6 linked regions of the Ovis aries genome follow. The protein of the gene in region 2 interacts with the protein of the main gene of each other region in a biochemical or structural test. Links are inferred from orthologs where the notes say so. Each region holds a gene or a part of one and is shown on either strand. Other genes may lie near its edges.

Region 1 (3,161 bases), on a different chromosome or scaffold from region 2:
CCATCCTCATTTCTGCAGCAACTGCTACGGTCCTTCCTTTTCTCTCGAAGCAAGAAGTATCAAAGAGGAAGAGCTGGTCACTGTCAAAAATGATTTACATTGACTGAAGGAAGGAGAGTCTGTGTTTTGTGTGATATCTTTCTTCATTTTATTCAGGAAAGCTTGAAGGTTTGGGGCTGCAAGTTAATGTACTTGTGATGTTCGATGCCTGTGTTATCTTGAAGTCCTGTAGAAGTGACTGCCCGGTGTACCAGCCCGCCCCGAAGGACTTTCTCAGAACTTTCCTTTTAGGGTCTCAGGCTGCTGGGAGGGAAGCCTGAATACCAGGAAGATCAGGCACCTGGGTGACCTGCAGGGAGACTGTCCATGACCCCCTATCAAGCTGCTTAGCTCTCTGGAGCCCCATCCCCATGTTCAGAGGACCACCCATCTCAGCCGCTGGTGTGGCTAATGCAGAAATGGTCATGGCATCCTGGGTTCATCGTATTGTTGGGTAGCAGTTGTGTTGACACAGAAACAGAGTCTTGGAGGAAGGAAAGTCGACAGGGTTGGTGGAGAGCTTCGTAGGGGACCAGCCAGAGCAGTGTTGACTGTTGTCAGTTTTTGCCTTGTTAACCTGATGCAAAGAGTGAACTCATTGGAAAAGACCCTGATGCTGGGAAAGACTGAGGGCAGGAGGAGGAAGGGGCAACAGAGGATGCGATGGTTGGTTGGCATCACCACCTCAATGGACATGACTTTGAGCAAACTCCAGGAGATGGCGAAGGACGGGGAAGCCTGGCGTGCTGCAGTCCGTGGGTTCGCAAAGAGTCTGCATCCCTGCTGGACGCTCCATCCCTGGTGCGCGTTCCTCTGTGCCCCTCACCTGTCTTGAGCAAATGCTCACTCGTACCTCATTTCAGAGAAACCTCAGGAATTTGTTCAGATTCCAAGACTTCCACTTTGTGATGAACGATTAGAGCTTCATTTGGACATCTCAACTGATCCTCCCTCTGTGAGCGTCTCCTGAGTCTTACATTACAAATGGGGAAACCAAGGACAGAGAAGGAGAATAACTCAGTGGTGCCCACAGGTCTGGTCGTGGGGACAGCAGATACCACCTCCCTCTGTCCCTCTTCACTCATTCTGAGTGGTATTTCGTATCTGCTCTCAGCGCTCGGTCCAGATGTTAATTTTCCTAAAAAGCTGTGGTTTAACAGTGTACGGTGGCCGAGAGATACAAAAGGAAAATGTGGGGGCATGGAAACTTTCCTGGGAGTTCCAACTTTATTTTAGATCTTTGGAAAATAGAGATAATGCTTGTGTGCTTGGCAGACTGCAACCTCTGGGCAGTGAAAATTGCGTGGTGGAGCAAACACAAGGGGAACATACATGAAACTCTGAAAAGACCCAGGCAGAGTGGAGTTCACATAGTTTCCATACGTTTACGAGAGTGCCAGGAAACCAGTCTTGATGAGTAGAGAGGTCGGGAGATGCTGAGTTGGCCAAAAAGTCCATTCAGATTTTTCCACAACATTTTACAGGAAAAGCTGAACGAACCTTTGGCCTACCCAGTATCTGCTGTGAGCAGTTACTTCAGCTCTCGCCCCGGTTGCTAGTGCCAGCCACCGTCCCACCCTGACGACGCCCATGAATTCCTGCTGCGTCAATGTCGCCCAGTTTAGAGGAGCTTCTGCGTGGGGCTGACACACCCTGAATCTTCCCTACCAAATATAGACTGATCTCAAAGCAGTGCTGCAGTTTTTTCTTTTTGCTTTCTCCCAAATTAGACGGCTTAAGTGTCCAGAACGTTGTAAACACTCTGTGTTGTGTTTTTTATGAGAGTTAAAGAAATGGTAAACAAGTGGAGAGGCGAATCTGCTTGTTTCTGAGTACGGTTGCAGTGGCTGGGAGGCTCAGTGTAGTTTAGTCCTTTCGCTTATATCTGCCCTTCAGGTCGTCTAGTTCTGTCACACTGTCTGGAGGGCTCACCTTCCCCTTTTCACACTCACCATGCAGTGGCCCCAAGCAGGAAGCATCCCGCTGGCCCTTGAGTTACCAGGTGCTGCATGGCCGCAAATGGCCCCTCGCCTTGGCCAGCGCTGCCCGGGCTTCTGATGAAATGCACATCCTGAGATGCAGCTGGTTCGGAGAGGGCTGAGAATCGCATTTCTAGCTAGCTTCCAGGTGGTGCGGATGCTGCAGATGCTGCTGGCCTGTGGACCCCGCTTGGAGTGGTTCCCCGGCCACCAGGAAGACGCACCTCCTTCCATGTTGACTTTCTTTCTACTGGAAGCAGAGAAGGACATGGCAGCCCACTCCAGGATTCTTGCCTGGGAGATCCCATGGACAGAGGGGCCTGGCGGGCTGGAGTCCAGGGGGTCGCGAGAGGCGGAAATGACCTGGTGACTACACCACCACCACCTGCTGGCGTGTGGAGTCAGGCGGGCTGGAATCGTGCGTGCTCTCTGTTGATTGCTGTGTCCCGGTGCCCTTGCTAACGGCCCTGGTCTCGATGCTTCTCTCTTCTAGGATTGCCTCAAAGCCTGCCAGGAGCAGATTGAGGTGGTGCTGCTGAACAGCCTGCAGCAGTACCGTCAGGACCAGGGCGACGGATCCAAGTCGGAGGATGAGCTGGACCAAGCCAGCACCCCTACGGATGTTCGGGATATCGACCTGTGAGGATGTGGGGCGGGCCCAATGGGAGGGGTGCGTCCAATCCGCTCTCTCCTTCTCTCTGGTTGTATTTGGTTCTCTTACATTTTAGGATGAAACTTAAAAAAAAAAAAATTCTGCCCCCACCTAGATCCTATTGAAAGATCTTTTAGAAGTGAGAGATAAAGGTCCTATAAAAACAAAATCATTACAAGCATTTGGTGCCTATTTGAAGTACAACAGAAGGGAATCCCTTATATATGCCAAGTTACTGTTTGATGATGTTAAAAGTCATAGTAATATGCTTACAGGAAAACCTGCAGAGTAGCTAGAGAAAAATGTACGCCTGCACTATGGGAACAAATTAGAGACTCTTTTTTTTCATGTTATGAACTAGCACGTATATACCCCTGTTGGATAATTTGGAAGAACTGCGGATGCCACGTATGGCAGGATTGGATTGTGAAGCAATGAACTTGAGAAGGAATTAGGAATCAAGGAGGGACAGGATGGGGAGGGAGTGACAA
Region 2 (4,063 bases):
TGGACCCATTTTAGAATTCTGATTTACAGAACCATAAGATAATAAATTTATGTTGATACTAAATTTGTGGTAATTTGTTATAGCAGAAATAGGAAGACACCTTCCAAGATCACACTCAGACTTCATTAAAGAGGAGGTGCTCACTTCATTTGGTTCCTAAATAATCTTTGATGATACAAGAGCATTACCAAAGAGGAATTTTGAAATATTGTTCACAATCACAGCAACTTTGCAATTTGAGTGTTATACATTGGGTGGAGGTGATAGAACATTCTTTTTTAGGGTAACCATTATTTGGTTACATTAGCTACACTATATTGAGGAATTATTTATTTTTAGTTGAGTTCTGTATTAAACTTGAATTAATTTGTTCAAACCAAGGAATCTTAACAAGTTATACTATGCTTGTTGAGTTCTATCCTAGAGAAAGTGAAACTGATTTAATTAAAAAAAAAAAAAAAACCACAGAGAAAATTTAAGTGAACCAACTTGCAGCTACAAAAAGGAAAACTAACAGTGCATTAGAAGAAAGAATTTTTTAAAATAAAAACTGGGGAAATTTACACTATTGGATTTCTCATGGATTATGAATTAATTTCCAAAACAAAGGGGCCACACCCAAGGACACCATAATCTTTTGGAAACTCTACTATAAGTGCCAGAGCTCATATATATATATGTATGTCTCCTTCCATGCTTGTATATAATGCAGGTGAAAATATATTACATGGGTTGGATAAATGAAGTCCTTGGTCTTAGTCATTAAATTGGTTAAAGGTATTATTATATGCTACAGTATTAAAGTATGAAAAGTAACATAATATTTAAATCATAGTAGCAATCCAAAGCAAAAAGAAAATCATTCAAATGAATATTTCTAGGGTACTTAAGTCAAACTGAAGATATAAATTTAATTTAGTCATTAAAATTTTTCTATAAACTAAGTATTTTTAAACACAAATTTGGTTAGGGTTCAAAACTAAAATCATATCCCTTTTGTCGATGCCCTTATCCTATTTAAAAATAATTTAAAATTAATTATCTTTCTTTTTGTATTTAAACAATAAAGTCTAATATAACATCTTTCAGAACTAGAAGGCTGTAACACCCAGTCTGCAAACTGCTGGCAAAACTTTAGAGATATCCAATTATGAATCATGCATGCATTTTTTAAAAAAAGAACTCATGCTTCTCTTCTACAACCATTCAACCTTTTAATCTCCAAATCTCTCCACATTTCAAATCCCAAATAATCTCAGATTTGAGGATATTTTATTTTTATTTTTGTATCTAAAAGTATATAAAATATATCTGTTCTATGTAGCATAGTTTGAGGAAAGGACGATTCGCTTGTGAAATCACTTGTTAAGTTCCAGGTTGAGTTACTTTTCCTTTGTCTTGTTATGCTGGAGTTTTTGCAGTGTACATTTCATATAAATATTATTTTTCAGAATCAGAAATCGTTGTCGAAACCTGGAATAAAACTGGAGTGACTGCCAGGAAGAATTTATTTTTAGCCCCAGATTTAGGAAGTTAGTGAAGGCAAAACACACACACACACACACACACACACACACACAGAAAAACGAACTCACAACTCATCCTCACACATACAAAACTGGAGTGGGGAGAGGAGAAATGACATTTTTTAAACTATGAGGAACTGAAAACTTCCCAGGAAATTAATGTATACCAAGTAAGTTTAAAATACCCCAAAAGGTAAGAGACACTCAAGTGGTAACTAAATTGGCAGCATTATTTCAGGCATAATTGCACTAATTTTTTTTTTCATGTATGTCTATTTCCTAAACAAGCATATATGTTCCTTACTCGGTTAAAAAAAAATAATAAACACGATATATGGTTGCTTCTGAATAATTTCAATCGACCTTTATTCCAACTTACACAGCAGTAGATTTCCACTGAAATCTCCCTCTCACCGCCCCTCCCCCCCCAACAAAGAAGTCGATCAGCTCCATTCACAATTTTATAAGTTCGGGAGTAAGTGGTCCAGCATGTCTTACTGTCTTTATACTCGTACTCCAGACGTTCGTCAATTTCGCATATCGGTCTATATTAACACACGTAGGTTCTCCCTTCTAGATCTTCACACCGTTTTAGAGATCTGAACCCCACGCGCCTTCTCAGCCAGCTCCGCGGCCGTCCTGAGCCCCCTGAGAGTCGCCGAGAGGTCTCCGATCCCGAACTCGGTCTGAAAAGTCTCCCCTTTACCAAGAAACGCTTACCTGGTTCCGACTCACTGGCGGACCTCGTCCTCCAAAGCCTCTCGCCATCCACCCACCCACCCAGCCGCCCACCTTTCCGCGGCAGACCTGCTGACCCACCTGAATCGCGCTTCGACCGTAACGGTTCGGCGCGTTGGCCAACGCTCCAGCCTCGAGCAGTGCCCGTACCTCGTCAGCCCGGCCCCGCGCGGCGGCGGCGGCCAGCAAGTCAGCCGAGGTCTCCATGCTGCTCCCCAAAGCTCGCCCCTCGCTCCCTCCCTTCCTCCCGCCTGCGTCGAGCGCGGGCGGCCCGCCCAGGCTGCTCCTGAGCAGCCCGCCCCTCCTCTTTCCTCCTACGGGGCTGGCGGAAGCGGCCCCCAGACTCGGCCCCTCGACTCCTCCCGAGGAGTCTTTCCACCCGGGGAGCGCCCTCCACGCGCTCTTCCAGGAGGCGCCCTTTGCTCCTAACGAACAAGACGTCTATGAAGTAGCCCCCGCCGGGCCTCCTCGGTCACAGGTCTGCCGCCCACGCGACCCGAGGCACCGGCCGGAAGCTGTCCGCTCCGGTAGCGCGACGGGACCGCGAAAGGAGGGCGCCCTGGGACCTCCTCCCCGCCCCCCGCCCCGCGTCCGCGCGCAGCGCGCCCCCACCCCCATCAGAGGCGCACGCGCGGCTCCGAGCGAGTTCACTCCAGCCAAGTGAAAATTCCTCGCGTATACACCCTGAGTGGCGTGAGACAACTGCATAGGATTCCTAACTGCCAAGTTCGAACCAGTGTGTTTGGAGTCATAGGCAAAGTTATTGCTTCCTCTTTTAATCAGAAGAAACAGCCAGCTTGTCCTGGCCCCGAGCGCCCAGGATAGGTATCAGCCATTCCACCATGAGGCTTTCCTTCTTGGAGAGGATACACTCCCCCTCCAACGCTCAGCACCAGGTTTTCGAGCGCTGGCTCGATTATGCCAGAAATTCTAGCTCAAACGTCCCTTCTGGAGAACTGGCTCACGCGCCAGGCTGTGCCTCCCTCCCTCCACACACATGTAAAACGGATGTCGGGGGAGAGCGTTTCCTAGGCTTGCACAATGCCTGGTACTAGTGCCCAGTATACGGGCTGGCTCCGAGCAGATGAGGTCAATTTAAAAGGGATGGTGGAGATTTCTACCTGTACGCAGATAGGAAAGTGGCAAGGGTATCCTTGGGCTTAGTAGGCTCTGTTCTCAATAATTTCTCCTACACCAGAAAACATGCTCATTGCTCTAGGGACAGGGCTGCATTCGGAGATGATTCAGAAAGCAGGCTCACACACTGTCTTGGTGCCACTTCTGTCCACCTTTCCTTCCTGTTAGAAAAACCTTACACTTTTCTTAGTTATAAAATGGAGGGGGGAATAAGAGGTGTCCCTACTTCCTAGGACTGTTTTGAGTTTTAAATGAATTGATACACACATAAGCATTTAGAACAGTATCACACATCCTAAGCTCATGCCTGTTAGCTCTTAACATCCATTTTGAAGATTTTCTTGCAATCTAGGAGACAGAGAAGGAAATGGTTTAGGTAGAATTATCAATATTACATATAAAAGGGCAGGCAAGAAAACCTTAATCACTGAAACAATGATGGACATCTTCCAGTGACCGACATATTTAATGAAAAGTTAATGTTTAATCTGTCTGCTAGATAACCCAGCTCTGTTTTAAAAGTTATATTTCAATTCCTACTTGACTCCTCTTGAAGACCCATAATACTTGACTATACTTTCAGTGGCTGTTAGTTTAGGCAACACATGAGGTTTTAAATAATGACAATTAAAACACTTATGGGACTGGGAAGTCAAGTCCAT
Region 3 (4,168 bases), on a different chromosome or scaffold from region 2:
CCACTTTCTCTGCTTCAGTTTGTATTATTATAGAATCCATTTCAAGAGTAACCTTGGTATCAGGGTGAGGACCATGAGGAATTGCTGCCTTGTCTCTAAAGTGGGGATGATGTGCTATCGGAACACAGGAAGAGAAAAAAGAAAAAATGGATGGGGCTGGGGATCTTGTCCCCCTCAACTTTCGCATCTCTTCCATAGTAAATATGCATTACATCCAGTTTGTTTTTTAAGAGCCATGACAACAGGGGAGATGTGGACCGGAAGAGCCAGGAGGAATGGTTGAATTGCACAGAGCCTTGTAGGCAGGAGGTACTCAATGAATGCTCACTTGTGCAGAAGCTGAGCCTGTAGCTTGTTTCAAGGACTGCCCCCAAACAAATGCTAGTGCAGAGGGTGAGTGGAGGCCACAGCTCAGATAGCCAGTGGCTACTCACAGGTACAATGTTAGGAGGTGTTGCACAGCAAAAGCTGGGCCCATGTTTCTGAACTACAGCAGCAAGGTGGTACTGGGCCCTACTCCTGCTCACGGCAGAAAACACGTACTAGCCCTTAAGTACTGTGACGGCAGAGGCTCTTTACGTGCCTGTGCCTAGAACCTCAGAGGCACTCACTAACAACTGCTGAATGAATGGAATGCTCAGACCCAGTGAGGCTGCCCCTGACACCCTGGGTGTGGAGCAGAGGGCAAACTTCCTGATCCCAGTCCCTGGCTGTCCCTCTAAGCCTGAAGCTCCATTGCCCAAGGGCAGGACCTGGGCCTAAGCACCTGTCCATCAGCTAAATGGAGGCTACTCGATCAGGCTCCAAGCTGGTACCTGCAGGGACAGGTTGCTGGGGTATAGGAGACCAATCAGGGGACCCACCCTGTGCAACTTCCCTCCCTCTCACTCATTTGGAGGAAGGGACCCTGGGCTTCCTACAATCTCTATTAGCATCTCCAGGAAGTAAGGCATGCCAGCAGTTAACCACTCAGGAAATCTGGTCTGGTCCCACCACTCATGAGCTGACTCACCAGGGAAGGTTCTAACATCTCTAAGCCTCAGCTTCCCTATCTGTAAAACGGGAAAGCTGTTGACAGGGTTAAATGAGTTAATTGGGTAAAGTGCTTGGCACATGGCCTAACTCACAAAACAGTCTCAAAACAATGGTGCCTCCTATTGTTATTATTAGCATCTCAGTGATTCCGGAAGGAAGGATGTACTGGGCAGGGGGCCAAAGGGGTCGGGGGAACCTTGTTGGGATGTCTCAGGGACCAGCTGCTACCCAGGCCTCCATCAGCAGCTGGGCTTCCACCTCCTTGCCCTGGGCCCTGCCTCCCTGCCTCAACTTGCTCAGCCAACTGTGCTGAGACCCCATCCTGCCTGCCCATCCATGCCCTAACTTTACCCACAGGCTGCACCAGTCAAACTGGTCTCCACGCCCTGTCCTGCAGCCCACAGGACCAAGCTCTAGGCCTCCGCCCCCTCCTTCCCCCCACCTCCTAATTCAGACACCTCTCTGGGCCCCCTAGTCTCAACTGTCTTTAGCCTCTCGCTGTGCAGGGAGCACTTTATCAAGGGATATCCCTGGGGCATTTACTCTCTCCTGGTACTGGGGGCCTCCTCACCAGCTCCCAGAGGCCTAGCCCACCCAGGACTTCCACTGGGGCCCGGGGGTCTGCCTGCCTGATTAATGAGGTTCCATGGCAACCAGGGCCTGGGAGGGTGGAGGGTGGCAGATGGAAGGACAGGCAGAGGGAGGGGATCAGCAGCTGGCCCAGTTACCCCCGCCCCTGCAGAGAAGGCCTCCCAGCCAGGCAGCCTGTCCCCAGAGGCCCGGAGGGCCAGGCCTGCACCTGGCAGTCCCAGAGGCAGGAAGGAGGGTCTCCTCAATGGCTCTTCTACGGACTGGTCCCAGAACACCCCACTTTGACCTCCCCAAGCAGCCATGCCCACCACCCAGCCACAAGTTATGGTCTGAAGCCAGAAGGCCTCAGTTTAAATCCCACTTGCAGCCTTGTGACCAGGGGGCAAGCCACTTCCCGTCTCTGGGCACAGTTCAGATGGGCACAGTGACAACACCGAGCTCACAGCATGGATGTGAGTTTTAGCTGCCTTGAAGTCAGCCAAAGGCCTGGCATGCAGTCAGCGACAGCTGAATACACGTGGACCATTATTATCATTGAGTCTGCTCCGGCGAGGAAGCTGAGGCCCACAGCACAGAGCAGCAAACAAGGACTGGCCCGAGGTCACCCCGCACCCCAGGGCGGAGCCCCGAGGCCCAACCCAGGCTCGGCACCGCCCAGCCTGGACGCCTCAGCCCACCCTCCCCCGCCCCCGCTGCCGCCGGGCCAAACATTGCGCCCCGCCCGGGTCTGCGCAGGGGTCCAAGGCAGCGCACTCAGCCCAGTGTCCCTGATGTCCGTACCGGCGGGCGGCCGAGCGCGGGGCGCGGCGCGCTGGGTGTGGGCCGGGGCGCCTGCGGCGTGGCGAAGAGCAGCAGGTCAGGGTCCCGGGGGCCGGCGGCCGGTGCGGCGGGGCCGGCGGGGGCCGGCGGGGCGCTGGCGTCCTGCGCGGTGGAGATGATGACGATCTGCGAGGAGTCGAGCAGCCGCAGCGCGCCGGCCCCGAGCAAGGCCTCCAGCGCCGGCGCGCAAGGGCCGCCCGCGGGGGCCCCGGCCACGGCCATGGCGCTCACGGCCCGCGCGGCCCGGGTGGCAGTCGGCGGCGGCGGCGCGGGCCCATGGCGGCAGGCCGAGGCGAGGGCTAGATCCCGCTCCGGATCCCGCTCCGCCCCCGGCCGCCGCTGCCTGCAAAGTCCCGGCCACTTTTACGCGCCAAATCCTTTTTGCCGCGAAAGAGCCACGAGCCGCCGAGCGCTACCACCATTGGCTGCCCGGACTGTGACGGAGGCGACGGCGACGTCACCCATTGGCTGCAGCGCGCCGGTCCGGCGGCGGAGGGCGGGACGGGGCGGCGGCGCGAGGGAGCACGACCAATCGGGGGTCGGGGCGCGCGCAGGCTTTGTCGGGGCGGTGCCAGGCGCGTTCGCACTCCCCGCCCTCAGAGGGGACGGCCCCTGTCCGAGGAGTGGTGGCCCCACCCCCTCCCCGACGCACCCCCATCTGGCCGATGCCTGTAAGTTGAGGACAGAATGTCCATTAAGCATATCTCAACGTCAGCAGACCCCACGTGACCCCGATAACTCTCACCTGTGGCCCCGACACTCTCGGCCAGATCTCTAGAAACTGCCCCTCCTCTCTTCTCGGTTCTCAGGCCCACCTCCAAGCTCCGGCCACTTCTCCCTCAACTTCCGTCACCAAAGCCGTTCACTTTCAAATCGTGTGCCCACCCTATTCCTCTCACCCAGAGCCCAAGCAAAAGGGAGCTGTCAGAAAACGGGGAGGGATATCTGGACCAATACAGCTCTGGGCTTTTCTACAAGCCCTCCTATAGCTGGAAACTCCAGTACCCTATGCACAACTTCTGCGTGAACTGATTCACTCGTTCAACAAACGTTTTGAGAGCCGGCTCTAAGCCCCATTCTTGACTCTTGGCGCTAAGGAACTCACAGTTTAGTGAAAAAGGGAAGAGAGAAACAGGTACAAGCATTTACAACATGATGTGGAATTTTCACTATTAATTCCATGTTAGATCTCACAAAGGGAGGAGGTGAGTATGCTGAGCATGAAAATGCATTTAATCCGGAGGCCCTGGGACCTCTCCATCAGCCATTTCTCATTGCTCAGATCAGCTGATTTGAGCAGTACTGTCCCCTCCTCTATGCCAGGCTCTGTGCCAGCACTAAGGGCAGAGATGCAAAAGGCTTGATGATTTCTATGAACTTGCCTGCCATCTGGTGGGGACTGACCCATCAGGGGAAAAAAAAACACTAAGACGCAGTCAAGAATGAGATCCCTAGGCCCCATATAAATATCACTTCTTCCAGGGAACACTCAAGTATTGAAGTTACTCGCTTCCTCCACTGTCCACCCCCACTTCTGTTCCAGCACTGAGCGGGCACACTGGATCTCTTTATCTGCTTTCCTTATCAGACTGGGAGCTCCAATAGGGCCTCTTCCCAGCACTGGCCTGGTCCACAGTAGGTGCAGAGAAGGACTGTAAAAAGAAACAGGCTCACACTGGAGGCTACCTGGAATGTCCCAGGTCTCAGAATCACCTGGGTGCTT
Region 4 (3,857 bases), on a different chromosome or scaffold from region 2:
AAAATAAAAACCATTTAAACTCTATAATCAAAGAAGCCATGTAAATGCCTTTCCTTCCCTTGTTAGTAGAGGGGCTCCACTGACCCTGTGATCTAAAGAGAATCTGCAAGGAAATTCCATCTTCCAAATGGTTTTTTCCAAATTCCCAAACAGTAAAGCCAATCAGAGGAAGAAATATTAAAAAAAAAAAAAGACCATATTTGTTTTGTTTGTCCTGTATAAAAAAGGATCCCAATATAAAGGTATAAAGAAGGGGAGAACAAGGGACATATCTCTTGGTGTAAGGACACAGGATAAGGATAAGCCTCAAAAAGAAGGGTGGGAGGGGAATATTGTTAAGGCAGTAAAATATTGTCTGTAAAAAGTTGGAGGAGTCGTCTCCACAGCTTCAGAGGTGAAGGCAGAGGTTGCCTTCTCAGTGGTGGGGCTCTCCACTCAAGTGTTCAAAAGAAGGGAAATTTGTGTCTCTCGCCTTGGTTCTGTTCCAGCCATTCTGTTGCTCACTCTGCGTCACCTTCTGCCTTGTGTAGATAAGAGTGCTGCAGGGCTCGGAAGGCAGAGATTCGCTTGTGTGGGTTAAAAGTCAGCATCTCCTGAGAAGAGACGCAAATGTCAGAAAACATGGAAGAAACAAAAGGGACTCCTGCTTAACCCTAACAATACCTAGAATGGGTGATTTTTTTCTATCCCTCTTGTGGCCAGCCGTTCAAAACAGTAATAAAAACCAACCTGTTCATTATCAAGTCTCAGTAACAACAATGCATTTGGGTCCCTTTTATCCTGCTCCATTTCCCCCCACTGATGGCTCAAGTGGTAAAATAAACTGCCTGCAATGCAGGAGACCTAGATTCAATCCCTGGGATGACCCGCTGGAGAAGGAAATGGCAACCCACTCCAGTGGGCTACAGTCCATGGGGTTGTAAAGAGTCTGACAGGACTGAGTGACAAACACGTGATTTCCCCCTGTAGTCTCGCCCTGTGCCCATGCCTGAGTCTATTACCAGCAGCAGCTGTGCTCCGGATTCCTCCAGCTCAGGGACCACTGACTGCACTGGGCGGGGCCCTCTGGGGGAAAAGGCTCCTCGGGGTAGAGAGACATCTCGGGGCCAGTCATCCTCCGGGGGCAGTCCGATCAGGCTATGGGGAACAAGAGAATTCTGGTCAGGAGGGCCTTTTTCCAGCCCCCATCTCCAGGGGCAGAGCCAGCTGCTGTCAAGGACTCAGCAGAATGCAAAGTCAAGGACTCGGAATGCAAAGTTCTTCCCCCTTGCAGGTCACTTACTCAAAGATTTTGCCTAACTGGTCAGCTTCAGAGTTTCCACAGAAGAGAGGCCTAAGGTGAAAAGAGACAGTCATTCCAGTAGCAGTTTTACAAAGACAGGGTGGTAGATACTGTTTAGTGGCTCAAAACATAGGGTGTGGAGAATAAAGGGCTATGAAATTCCTAATTCCAGAACATTTCAGAGTTTCCGGCTATGGACAAGGTGGCCAATAGTAAGTGGAAGAGCAGGCAGGGTATAGGCGTGGCTTATGAATAAAAAACTTGGGAAATTCAAAATGTTTGGGATACTTGGGCCCCATACTTTCGACGAAACATCTCTGCAAAGATACAGCCAACACTCCACATGTCCACGGGTGTTGCATACGTAGACTGCAAAAGAACTTCTGGAGCACGATACCAGAGTGTAACAACCTGATGGGAATAAGTAATGCGGATGAGAGTCCTGCAAGTTACTGCAAAGCACATGGAAAAACACGCTCCTTCTCAACTGTTATGGGCAATCACTCTTCTCCCCCAGCCAGACCCCACTCTGGCCCCATCCTGGCCACCATCATTCTACTGACCACAGGTGTAAGTGCCATCTGGTAGCTGTAGATTCTGGCCAGGCCAAAGTCAGCCAGCTTGACTGTCCCACCACTTGTCACCAGAATGTTCTCTGGCTTCAGGTCTCGGTGAACGATGCAGTTGGCATGAAGGAAATCCAGGCCTCTTAGAAACTGGCGCATCAGATCCTGGTTTGGAAGGGGGAAGTACAGAGAAACTGGGAATCAGGTGCCACACCTGAAATTACAACAAACTACCACAAAGGTCTCAAGCTATCTCTCAGTGTCTGCCCGCCCTACTTACCTTTATGGTCTCCACTGGCAAGCCTGGTGGGGGTGCCTTGTCCAGATACGTCCTGAGGTCTTGGTCCACATGCTCAAACACCAGGGTCACTTTGGTCTCCCGGTCAGTTCGGGCTGTTGCACAGACGTCCATGAGCCTGGCCAGAACAAATGGTCACTCATTGAGCAATGGTCTTGGACCCAACATGGCCTCCCCTATTTCCTCAGGGTTCCCACTCCTCTTCTGACCACCACTCCACATCTACAGGTTAGGCTGTCTTTTTCCTTTCACGACCCATTCCCACCCTTCCATCTTCTTCTCACCTGACAACATTGGGATGCTCAAAAGCCTCCAGACGCCGCAGTAAGGCCACCTCCCGAACGGTGCTGATGGGCAGGCCCCCTCCAGCACCTCCTCCGTTGGGGACTCTCACACTCTTGAGGGCCACAAAGTGGCCACTGTGAGGATCACGGGCCTTGTACACTGTCCCATAGGCACCGACACCAATCTCAGCCACTGGCTCGTATCGAGAGGTAGCCATTCTCAGACCAGAGGAGGCCCTACAATCACAGAGGCTCAATGAGCCTGCAGCAACAAAGTGACTCCCACAAAAGACATCACGAAGACAACACCAACAGCATTCCCAAGCTTCCCTGAAGGCAGCCCCCTAGGTAACACAATAACTCTAACCCCAAACCCTCCAGCCACGTGAGGCCCTATAACTTTTTCAAAGATGCATTTTCCTTGGGGACCATCAAGCCCCACACAAGGGAAATCCCATAAGACACACCCCCTACATCAAAGACCCGACACCCAGTTCCTGAAATTACACCTCCCTTCGGCCACAAAGGAACATTATCACATCCTGCCCCACTTCCCGCCCTCGAGCAACCCTTCCATAACCAGCCCGCGTAGGAAGCAGTGGACGGCGAGAATGGTCCCCATTCCTGAAAAGGGCTACACTCACCTCGCCCCGTGTCAGGAGCTGCGGGGTCGGCCCGTTATCCGGACCCCGGAGCCGGTTCCTGCAGCGCCATACACTCGAGGTCTGTCCTGGGCAGCTGGACGCTATGGGCCCGACCATAGACACAGGCCGCAGGCTAGAGCGGCCCCCTTTACCCCCACCCTCACCATGTGACCAGCTGCCAAAGAGGCGCGCGGAAATTGGAGGGGCGGGGCCAACGCCGGACGTTCGGACCACGTGACCGGACTACTCATGCGCGGAGGGGCAGCCAGAAAGCGGCTTTGAACGAGAAAGGGGCGAGGAGGGGAAAGAGGCGGAGAGAGATGGCAACCACATGATCTGTTGCTATCACACGTGACCGCTTGACATTGCTTGGAGGAGCAGAGGTGTGGTTACGCTGAAGGGCACGTGACTGGCTGCCTTAACTCTGGCTGGGCGTTGGGGCGGGAGAAGAGAGAGGGTGGAGTCCAATGCGATGCCATGGCAACCTGGGCCACCCAGGATTCCCAACTCCGGGCTGCAAGCCGAGCCTGAGTCTCACTACCTGTCTCTCACTCTCTCTAAGCGGGGAGATGGGTCGAGGGACGGGAGGTGCTGCTGTCGTCTTTCTGCTCCATCGCTAGCAGAAAACATGTTCTCATTTGTGTCTTTGTTTCATTCATTCATTCAGCAAATGTTTACTGAGTCCTTGCTTCCTGTGTGTCTGTGGGGTTTCTTTTTTTTGTTAATTTTTTTTCGACAAGTGTCGCAGACACTTGACCTTTATCTATAAAGATACAGTCACAT
Region 5 (2,329 bases), about 140 Mb from region 2:
CCATCCTTGACCCTGTTTATTAAGGAAAAGCAGTTTTGTACTGATCCAAATTATATTTTAGATTGCAATCTATATGTCTTTATCATCACTACTTTTGGAAAAGTTTCTTTTGTTTATTCCTGACATTGAATGGAAAGAGCATTTGGTTCTAGGCAGAAAGCCACCTACAGCTCTGAGACCAGACTTTTCCAAAAGATGGTAATTGTGACTCTTGAAACATTATCTTTAATTCTCAGTAACATTTCATCCTCCTGGGAAGTTTCATCTGTTTTTCATCTGATAAGGTAATTTGTAACTCACAGGGATAGTATGTAAATGAATTTTTAAAACACACTAAATGTAAATGCATGCGGCATTTTTTACATTTTCTTAATGGCCAGACCCAGAATCAGAAGTTGACCTGACCTATCTGTTACTTATGCAGTTTTCTGGAACATACTCTAAAGACCGTGGAATTTTTTTTTTTTAAGTAATCAGGAAGGATATTTCACTGTACTTTGCCAAATATTAAGTAGGAAAGAGATTTGAACTCTGGTCACAGATTTTTAAAGAGACTTGTTTTTTCTTTCTTTCTTTTTTTTTGCAGCTGGTTATATTTTGGGCACTAAATGAAGGTGTTTCCAGGCAGTTTGATTCATTTAGAGATGGATTTGAATCAGTCTTCCCACTCAGTCATCTCCAGTACTTCTACCCAGAAGAAGTGAGTAGCTTGTGTGCAAAAGAAATGGTCATCTCTAATTCCATACCTGTAATTATCTTAGTGAGGTATCTCTGTACTTTTTAGTCAGATACCCTGTTGTTATGAGCAAATAAAATTGTGGAGCGTTGGGCTTTAAGAGGGTAGTTTGGGAAAAATAAGATCATTTCCTGAGTGAGGAAGAATATTCAATATGATGTTTTTTTTTCTATAATACATTTTCTGGCTGAATCTGCAAATCTTTGAACAACTTAGCATTTTAATCTCAATTATTTTTAAGTCCACTTTGATTTGCTACTTATTGAAAATGTGTGTACCTGGCACTTTTAGGCACTAAGTGTCACCTGGAATTGAAAACAGCAAGGGTTTCTTTTGGAATTGGATCCTGGTCCCCACTACCTGGGACTTCCCAGGTGGCTCAGCAATAAAGAATTTGCTTGCCAGTGCAGGAGATGCAGGTTCAACCCTGAGTCAGGAAGATCCCCTGGAGAAGGAAATGGCAGCCCACTCCAGTATTCTTGCCTAGGAAATCCCACGAACAGAGGAGCCTGGCAGGCTACAGTCCATGGGGTTGCAAAGAGTCAAATATGACTTAGTAACTAAACAACAACCTTACTGCTTAGCTATGTGACCTTATCCAGGTTTTCATATATAACCTGACTGACTCGTTCATAAAATTGAGGTAAACTCTGTCTCACTGAACAAGATACATAAAGAACCTGACATTGAGTGACATGTAGTAGATACCAAATTTCACATGTGCGGAATGGATTTTCTCAAAGTAGACAAGTCATCCTGCATATGGGCAGTCAACCAGGTGAGAGATGGATTAATTGGATACTGATGTTAGATTTTTATCCTAAGGGCATGAGCATTTCTTTCCAGCATCTGTCCTCTAGTGACTGTCTTAGTCCTAGACAACCATCTGGCATAGAAGTGCCTTTGCAAAGCGGGAAAACCTCCCCGTTTGCTGTTGGTTCAGCTTTCTTCTCCCACTTCTATCTCCCACTCAATATTCTTTCTGTTAGCTTCCGTTATTGTGTGCCCTTGCGTTTCTAAAAGTCAGGATTTATAAAATCTCTCTGGTCAGAGGTAGATTATGAAGTTAAAGCCTCTAAAGAAATGAGAAGAATTAGGTAGGTTTTGGTTCAGATTAAAGGCTTCTCTAGAGCCTAGTCCCTGCAGATGGTCAGGGCACCCGTTACTGTCAGCTACAGAGGAGAGTGAATCTGTGACTAATAGTGGAAGAGCATGTTGTATAAAGAGCACCAGGCAGAAGCTTGTGGACTTAATATCAGGACACCACAAAGCAGAACACATGCCACTTCGCTCAGTTGTGTCCTTAGTAATCTGTTGCCCTTGTTTAAACACACAGCTGGATCAGCTTCTGTGTGGTAGTAAAGCAGACACTTGGGATGCAAAGACACTGATGGAATGCTGCAGGCCAGATCACGGTTACACTCATGACAGGTAAGGCCTGGGCTCTGCCAGGTTTCAGATACACACATAGGTCTAGGTTTTAAAGTTTGTTTACCTATTAAAGGAGGCTTTCCAATATTTTGGCTTCATTTCTCTCAAGACTGGGACTTGAGGACTGAAAGGGGTTTTGGGCTTTTTTGCCCCAAGTGTTTC
Region 6 (3,937 bases), on a different chromosome or scaffold from region 2:
TACCAGGCTGTGCCTCCAGGGATTCAGCACAGGACCTAGTCCAATCACATTCCAGCCACCAGGCCCTGTCATTTCATCACAAGGGCCAATCCCAGACTCCCCTCCCCATCAGTCAGAGACAAGAGGATGGAGGTGAAGTTGCCCAGGACTGGATTCTTTCTCTCCAAAGCCCCTCTCAAGGGAAGCCAGCTGTGTCTTTCCAAGGAGAGTTGGTCCAGCCAGCAGGCTCAGTTTGGACATCAGATCAACATCCCGGCCCAGAGGGGTCAACGCCCTGGCCCCGGTGGTCGCTCCAGCGCCTGTGTGCCCACCAGCACGTCCATGAGGTAGTCCAGCTCGGCCTCGTCCAGATCTGGACCTACCTCCTTGCCTGGTCCATCTTCAGGGCTGGATTTGTGGCCCTCAGAGACTGGTGCCCAGAGTTCACTGTCATACATGGACGTGTCAATGTCCTCAAACAGGCCCTCGAGCCCATCGTCCAGCAGACAGCCAGTGGCTGGGCCCAGCAGGTCCAAGGCGCCCAGGCTGGGTGAGGCTCCCCCGGCAGGGCGGCCTAGTGGCCCCTCATCTACCAGGGGCTGTGGGGCCTGGCTCAGGCCCTCAATATGGCTGAGGTCCTCCAGAAGGCTGGCCATGGAGGCTGAGAGGGCAGCATCAGAGCTGGCCAGCAGGTTGTCAGCCACGCTGGGGGCTGTAGGTGGGGTGGGCACAGGTGGCAGGGCAGCCGTGGGTGCCATGGATGCCTGGATTCGCCGCAGTGTGTTCACTACCAGCACCAGGTGCCGCAGGTCCGGCTCACTCTGCCGCAGGCTGTGATGGAGCTTGAGCACCGAAAGGTCAAAGAGAGAACTGGAGGCTACAGCTGGGGGTGCCTGAGCTACTGCTGAGTGGCTGGGATCCAGCCACCAGGCGTCCACTGCCAGGGTTTCCTTCTCCTCCTCCTCCTCCTCCTCCCGCTTTCGCTTCAGGCCCTTGCTCAGCATCATCTGTGGGAAGAGTCATTCAGTTATGGAAAGCCAGTGTGAAGTTCTGACCATTGCTGTGTGATCTTGGGCAAAGCACTTAACCTCTCTGAGCCTACGTTTTCTTGGGGAAGCTTTAAGACATTGATGATAATTGTATCTACTTCCTAGAGTTGTTTTAAGGAATAAATGAGATTTTAAAAAGCACTTTGGACAGTGTCTGGTACACAGCAATTACTCCTGTAAATAAGTACTATTGATAATAACTATTATCTATTTCTTCAATGAACTATGTGAAATGGCTAACATGAAGAGTCCAGTGTGAAATGTCCAATATTCAACTTTTTTTTTAAAACCTACAAAAGCAGTTGTTTCACATGGTTTAATCTAATATTTACTGAGTGTCTACTAATAGCATCAGACAATAAACAAACACAAGAAATGTACGGATGGTGCTAGGAAGATGCTAAAAGTTTCTGGAGAGTGGTCAGGGAAGGCTCCCCTGAGGAGGTGACATCTGAAATGAGCCCTCAAGTACGAGAAAGAATCAGCCATGGAAGAACCAGGGGGAAGGCATTCTGGGAATAAAGAACAGCAAAGGCAAAGAAAAGCCTAGAGACTGGATGAGTCTGAGCTGAAAAAGGACTCTGTAGTCAGTGCGGGGGTTGGGGGTTGAGGGTGGAGTACGGAGGATGTGGGGGTTCGAGAGTAGGCAGAGGCAAGGAGCTTGGATTTTATTGGGGGGTGTGGTGGGAAGCCACTGAAGGGGTTTGAGCAGGGAGGACAGTGGTGTTGTGGACTGATTAGGTTTCCAGAAGATCCCCTTGGCTGCTAAGAGGAAGGGGGAGCGAGGAGGGGAGGGGAGAGCGGCCCTGAGATCCTTTCGGAGGCTACTGCAGTCTTTGGGGTAGGCGAAGACGGTGACTTGGGAGCATAAGGTGGCAGTGGGCATGGAAGGAAGATGGTCGCTTCAGGATTTATTTGAGAGACAGCGTGGACAAAGCTTGCCGGAAAATCCTGATGGGCACGGGGGTCACGGAGAGAAGTTTGAAGACCCACACTTTCCCCGGGGTGGGTGCCCCTGACCCAACCTGCTTTTTTTAAGCCAGGCAGCCTGTAGGGTATAGCACCCAGATCCTTGCCCAGGAGAACTTCAAGAGTGACCCTCTCACACTACTCAAAACTGGGTCCTCGCCTCCTTCCCAGCAAATCCGAGAGTCCGGAACCGCAGGAATTCAGCCCCCACTCCCGACTCCGCCCCTCTGGCCCCGGCGCCCCCTGGCGGAGCCAGGCCGGCTTTCCCCGGGGATTCCGACTCTCCAGACCCCAGGACTCTTTACAGTGCCCCGCGGGACGTGGTCATTTCTGCTTGCCACCAGGGACCGTGCGGGCCGGGATCCCCGGAGGGCCGTTCTGCCCTCTCGGCCTCCGCTCGCTTCCGGAAGGCAGTGGAGGCTACTCCTCCCGAAGCGGCGGCGGCGGCGGGGGCGGGTGAGTCACGCAGCCGGAGCCAGGGAGCCGGCGCCTCCGCCCCCTTCCCGGGCTGCGGTGTGATTCACCCGCCAGGCCCGGGCGGGCGGCACGGAGAGGCCCGTGCGCCTCGATCCCGGACAGCCCTGGCGCGCACCTGCCGGACCGGGGGATCGAACCTGCCAAAGAACCCCGCGGCCAGTACCCCTCTTTCCCCAGGCCTCTTCCCTTCATTTACATACCTAGTTCACCAGCTGCCAATCAGAAAGAAGAGGGAGCCACCCGCAGCCAATCAGGAAGCGGTGGCGGCAGCATTGCTCGCCCGCTCTGCTTCAGCAACCGGCACCTGGGTTGAGAGACGCAGTTCTGACTCCAGCTCACGACTCCCGGCTCCTGACTCCCCTTAGTTACCGCCCACTCCCGTGGCAGCCCCACCCTTCACCCAGGGATTGGTCCTAGACGGTGATGGGCGGAGCCTGTACAAAGCAGGCTAGAAAGAGGCGAGTTGTCTTTAGGGCGCATGTCCGGGAGGCTGCTTGAAGGGAGGGAGGAAGATAGGGTGGCTCTTGGCCCTGTAGGACGGTGGCGCGGTGGAGTTTTTGTCTCTCAAGCTGTGGGCCCCCTCACATCTGGCCACATCTGCATCACATCTGCACTTGTCAAACCCAATAATTGAGCTTACGCTAGCAGCCCCAACAGAGGTCTACACTCTAGGCCAGCTTAGTCCTGGATTCAAATTCTGGTTTTTGAGCCCACAGAGTCTGTTAAAGGGGGATCTTTTTGCCTACCTCTTGAGAGTTGGGAAACTTCAAGTAAGGTATTATCTGTAAGAGCACTATATAAGCAAATTCTGGGTAGTTGGACTCTGTCCTGTGATTACAGACAGGAGTTAGGGGTAGGGAGTGGAATGGCACTGGAGTCCCTTCCTGGGCTCCATTCCGTAAGTACAATAGCTGTGTGACCTTGACCAAGTGCTTTAATTCTTTAGGTTTTCTCACTTATTTTTAAAATGAGAGAAATAGCCTCTGACGCAGAGGATTGTTTTGAGGATTAAACAATTCCTGCACAATGCTGAGTGGTGTGTTAGGTGTCTTTTTTCATTAGTAATGGCTGTTGTAGTAATACCACAGGTGCTCAGTTCAAGGGGAGACATTCACGGTGGGGTGCACGTGGACAGGAGTTTAATACACGTCAGATAAACTGACAATGGGACTTACCTTCTTCAAATACCTCATTTGCTAATTCCTCATTCGCTAAGGGGAAGAACTGTTTGTGAATAAATCTTCTGACCAAAGTAAGCTATCAAAAATGCTAACTCAACTACGTGATTCAGACAACCATTTTCAATAGATGCTCACCCTTTGGGGTGAAAGTTAATGGGGAACAGGATCTCGACAGTTTCCAAAGCATCATCCCACAAATTCCTTGCTAACTGCAAAGGGGGAAATATCCTTTTATGATGGGAAGAGGAGGAGCTCAGCACCTTAACTATATAATGAAACTTT

What was found.
Region 1: the proteins of cyclin-dependent kinase inhibitor 2A (region 2) and CCND2 form a complex in vitro, tested with the Homo sapiens proteins (2 studies listed by BioGRID). The link is inferred for Ovis aries from reciprocal best matches to the Homo sapiens genes CDKN2A and CCND2.
Region 3: the proteins of cyclin-dependent kinase inhibitor 2A (region 2) and E2F1 form a complex in vitro, tested with the Homo sapiens proteins (2 studies listed by BioGRID). The link is inferred for Ovis aries from reciprocal best matches to the Homo sapiens genes CDKN2A and E2F1.
Region 4: the proteins of cyclin-dependent kinase inhibitor 2A (region 2) and CDK4 form a complex in vitro, tested with the Homo sapiens proteins (12 studies listed by BioGRID and IntAct, with this or other methods). The link is inferred for Ovis aries from reciprocal best matches to the Homo sapiens genes CDKN2A and CDK4.
Region 5: the proteins of cyclin-dependent kinase inhibitor 2A (region 2) and TRIP12 form a complex in vitro, tested with the Homo sapiens proteins (2 studies listed by BioGRID). The link is inferred for Ovis aries from reciprocal best matches to the Homo sapiens genes CDKN2A and TRIP12.
Region 6: the proteins of cyclin-dependent kinase inhibitor 2A (region 2) and SERTAD1 form a complex in vitro, tested with the Homo sapiens proteins (2 studies listed by BioGRID). The link is inferred for Ovis aries from reciprocal best matches to the Homo sapiens genes CDKN2A and SERTAD1.

Annotation. Positions count from the first base shown.
Region 1 is NC_056056.1:211,597,775-211,600,935, reverse strand, and holds the end of CCND2 (G1/S-specific cyclin-D2), read left to right. Parts: exon of another isoform or gene 1-1,731; intron 1,732-2,511; coding exon 2,512-2,661; downstream 2,662-3,161. UniProt on the Homo sapiens protein: Regulatory component of the cyclin D2-CDK4 (DC) complex that phosphorylates and inhibits members of the retinoblastoma (RB) protein family including RB1 and regulates the cell-cycle during G(1)/S transition.
Region 2 is NC_056055.1:90,755,901-90,759,963, forward strand, and holds the start of cyclin-dependent kinase inhibitor 2A, read right to left. Parts: upstream 2,801-4,063; 5' UTR 2,472-2,800; coding exon 2,346-2,471; intron 1-2,345. UniProt on the Homo sapiens protein: Acts as a negative regulator of the proliferation of normal cells by interacting strongly with CDK4 and CDK6. This inhibits their ability to interact with cyclins D and to phosphorylate the retinoblastoma protein.
Region 3 is NC_056066.1:63,140,864-63,145,031, forward strand, and holds the start of E2F1 (transcription factor E2F1), read right to left. Parts: upstream 2,801-4,168; 5' UTR 2,668-2,800; coding exon 2,407-2,667; intron 1-2,406. UniProt on the Homo sapiens protein: Transcription activator that binds DNA cooperatively with DP proteins through the E2 recognition site, 5'-TTTC[CG]CGC-3' found in the promoter region of a number of genes whose products are involved in cell cycle regulation or in DNA replication.
Region 4 is NC_056056.1:161,900,619-161,904,475, reverse strand, and holds CDK4 (cyclin-dependent kinase 4), read right to left. Parts: upstream 2,649-3,857; coding exon 2,431-2,648; intron 2,265-2,430; coding exon 2,129-2,264; intron 2,014-2,128; coding exon 1,846-2,013; intron 1,694-1,845; coding exon 1,584-1,693; intron 1,334-1,583; coding exon 1,283-1,333; intron 1,138-1,282; coding exon 1,002-1,137; intron 594-1,001; coding exon 501-593; downstream 1-500.
Region 5 is NC_056055.1:231,805,639-231,807,967, reverse strand, and holds part of TRIP12 (E3 ubiquitin-protein ligase TRIP12), read left to right. Parts: intron 1-586; coding exon 587-700; intron 701-2,072; coding exon 2,073-2,167; intron 2,168-2,329. UniProt on the Homo sapiens protein: E3 ubiquitin-protein ligase involved in ubiquitin fusion degradation (UFD) pathway and regulation of DNA repair.
Region 6 is NC_056067.1:49,178,415-49,182,351, forward strand, and holds the start of SERTAD1 (SERTA domain-containing protein 1), read right to left. Parts: upstream 2,801-3,937; 5' UTR 2,675-2,800; intron 987-2,674; coding exon 267-986; 3' UTR 1-266. UniProt on the Homo sapiens protein: Acts at E2F-responsive promoters as coregulator to integrate signals provided by PHD- and/or bromodomain-containing transcription factors. Stimulates E2F1/TFDP1 transcriptional activity.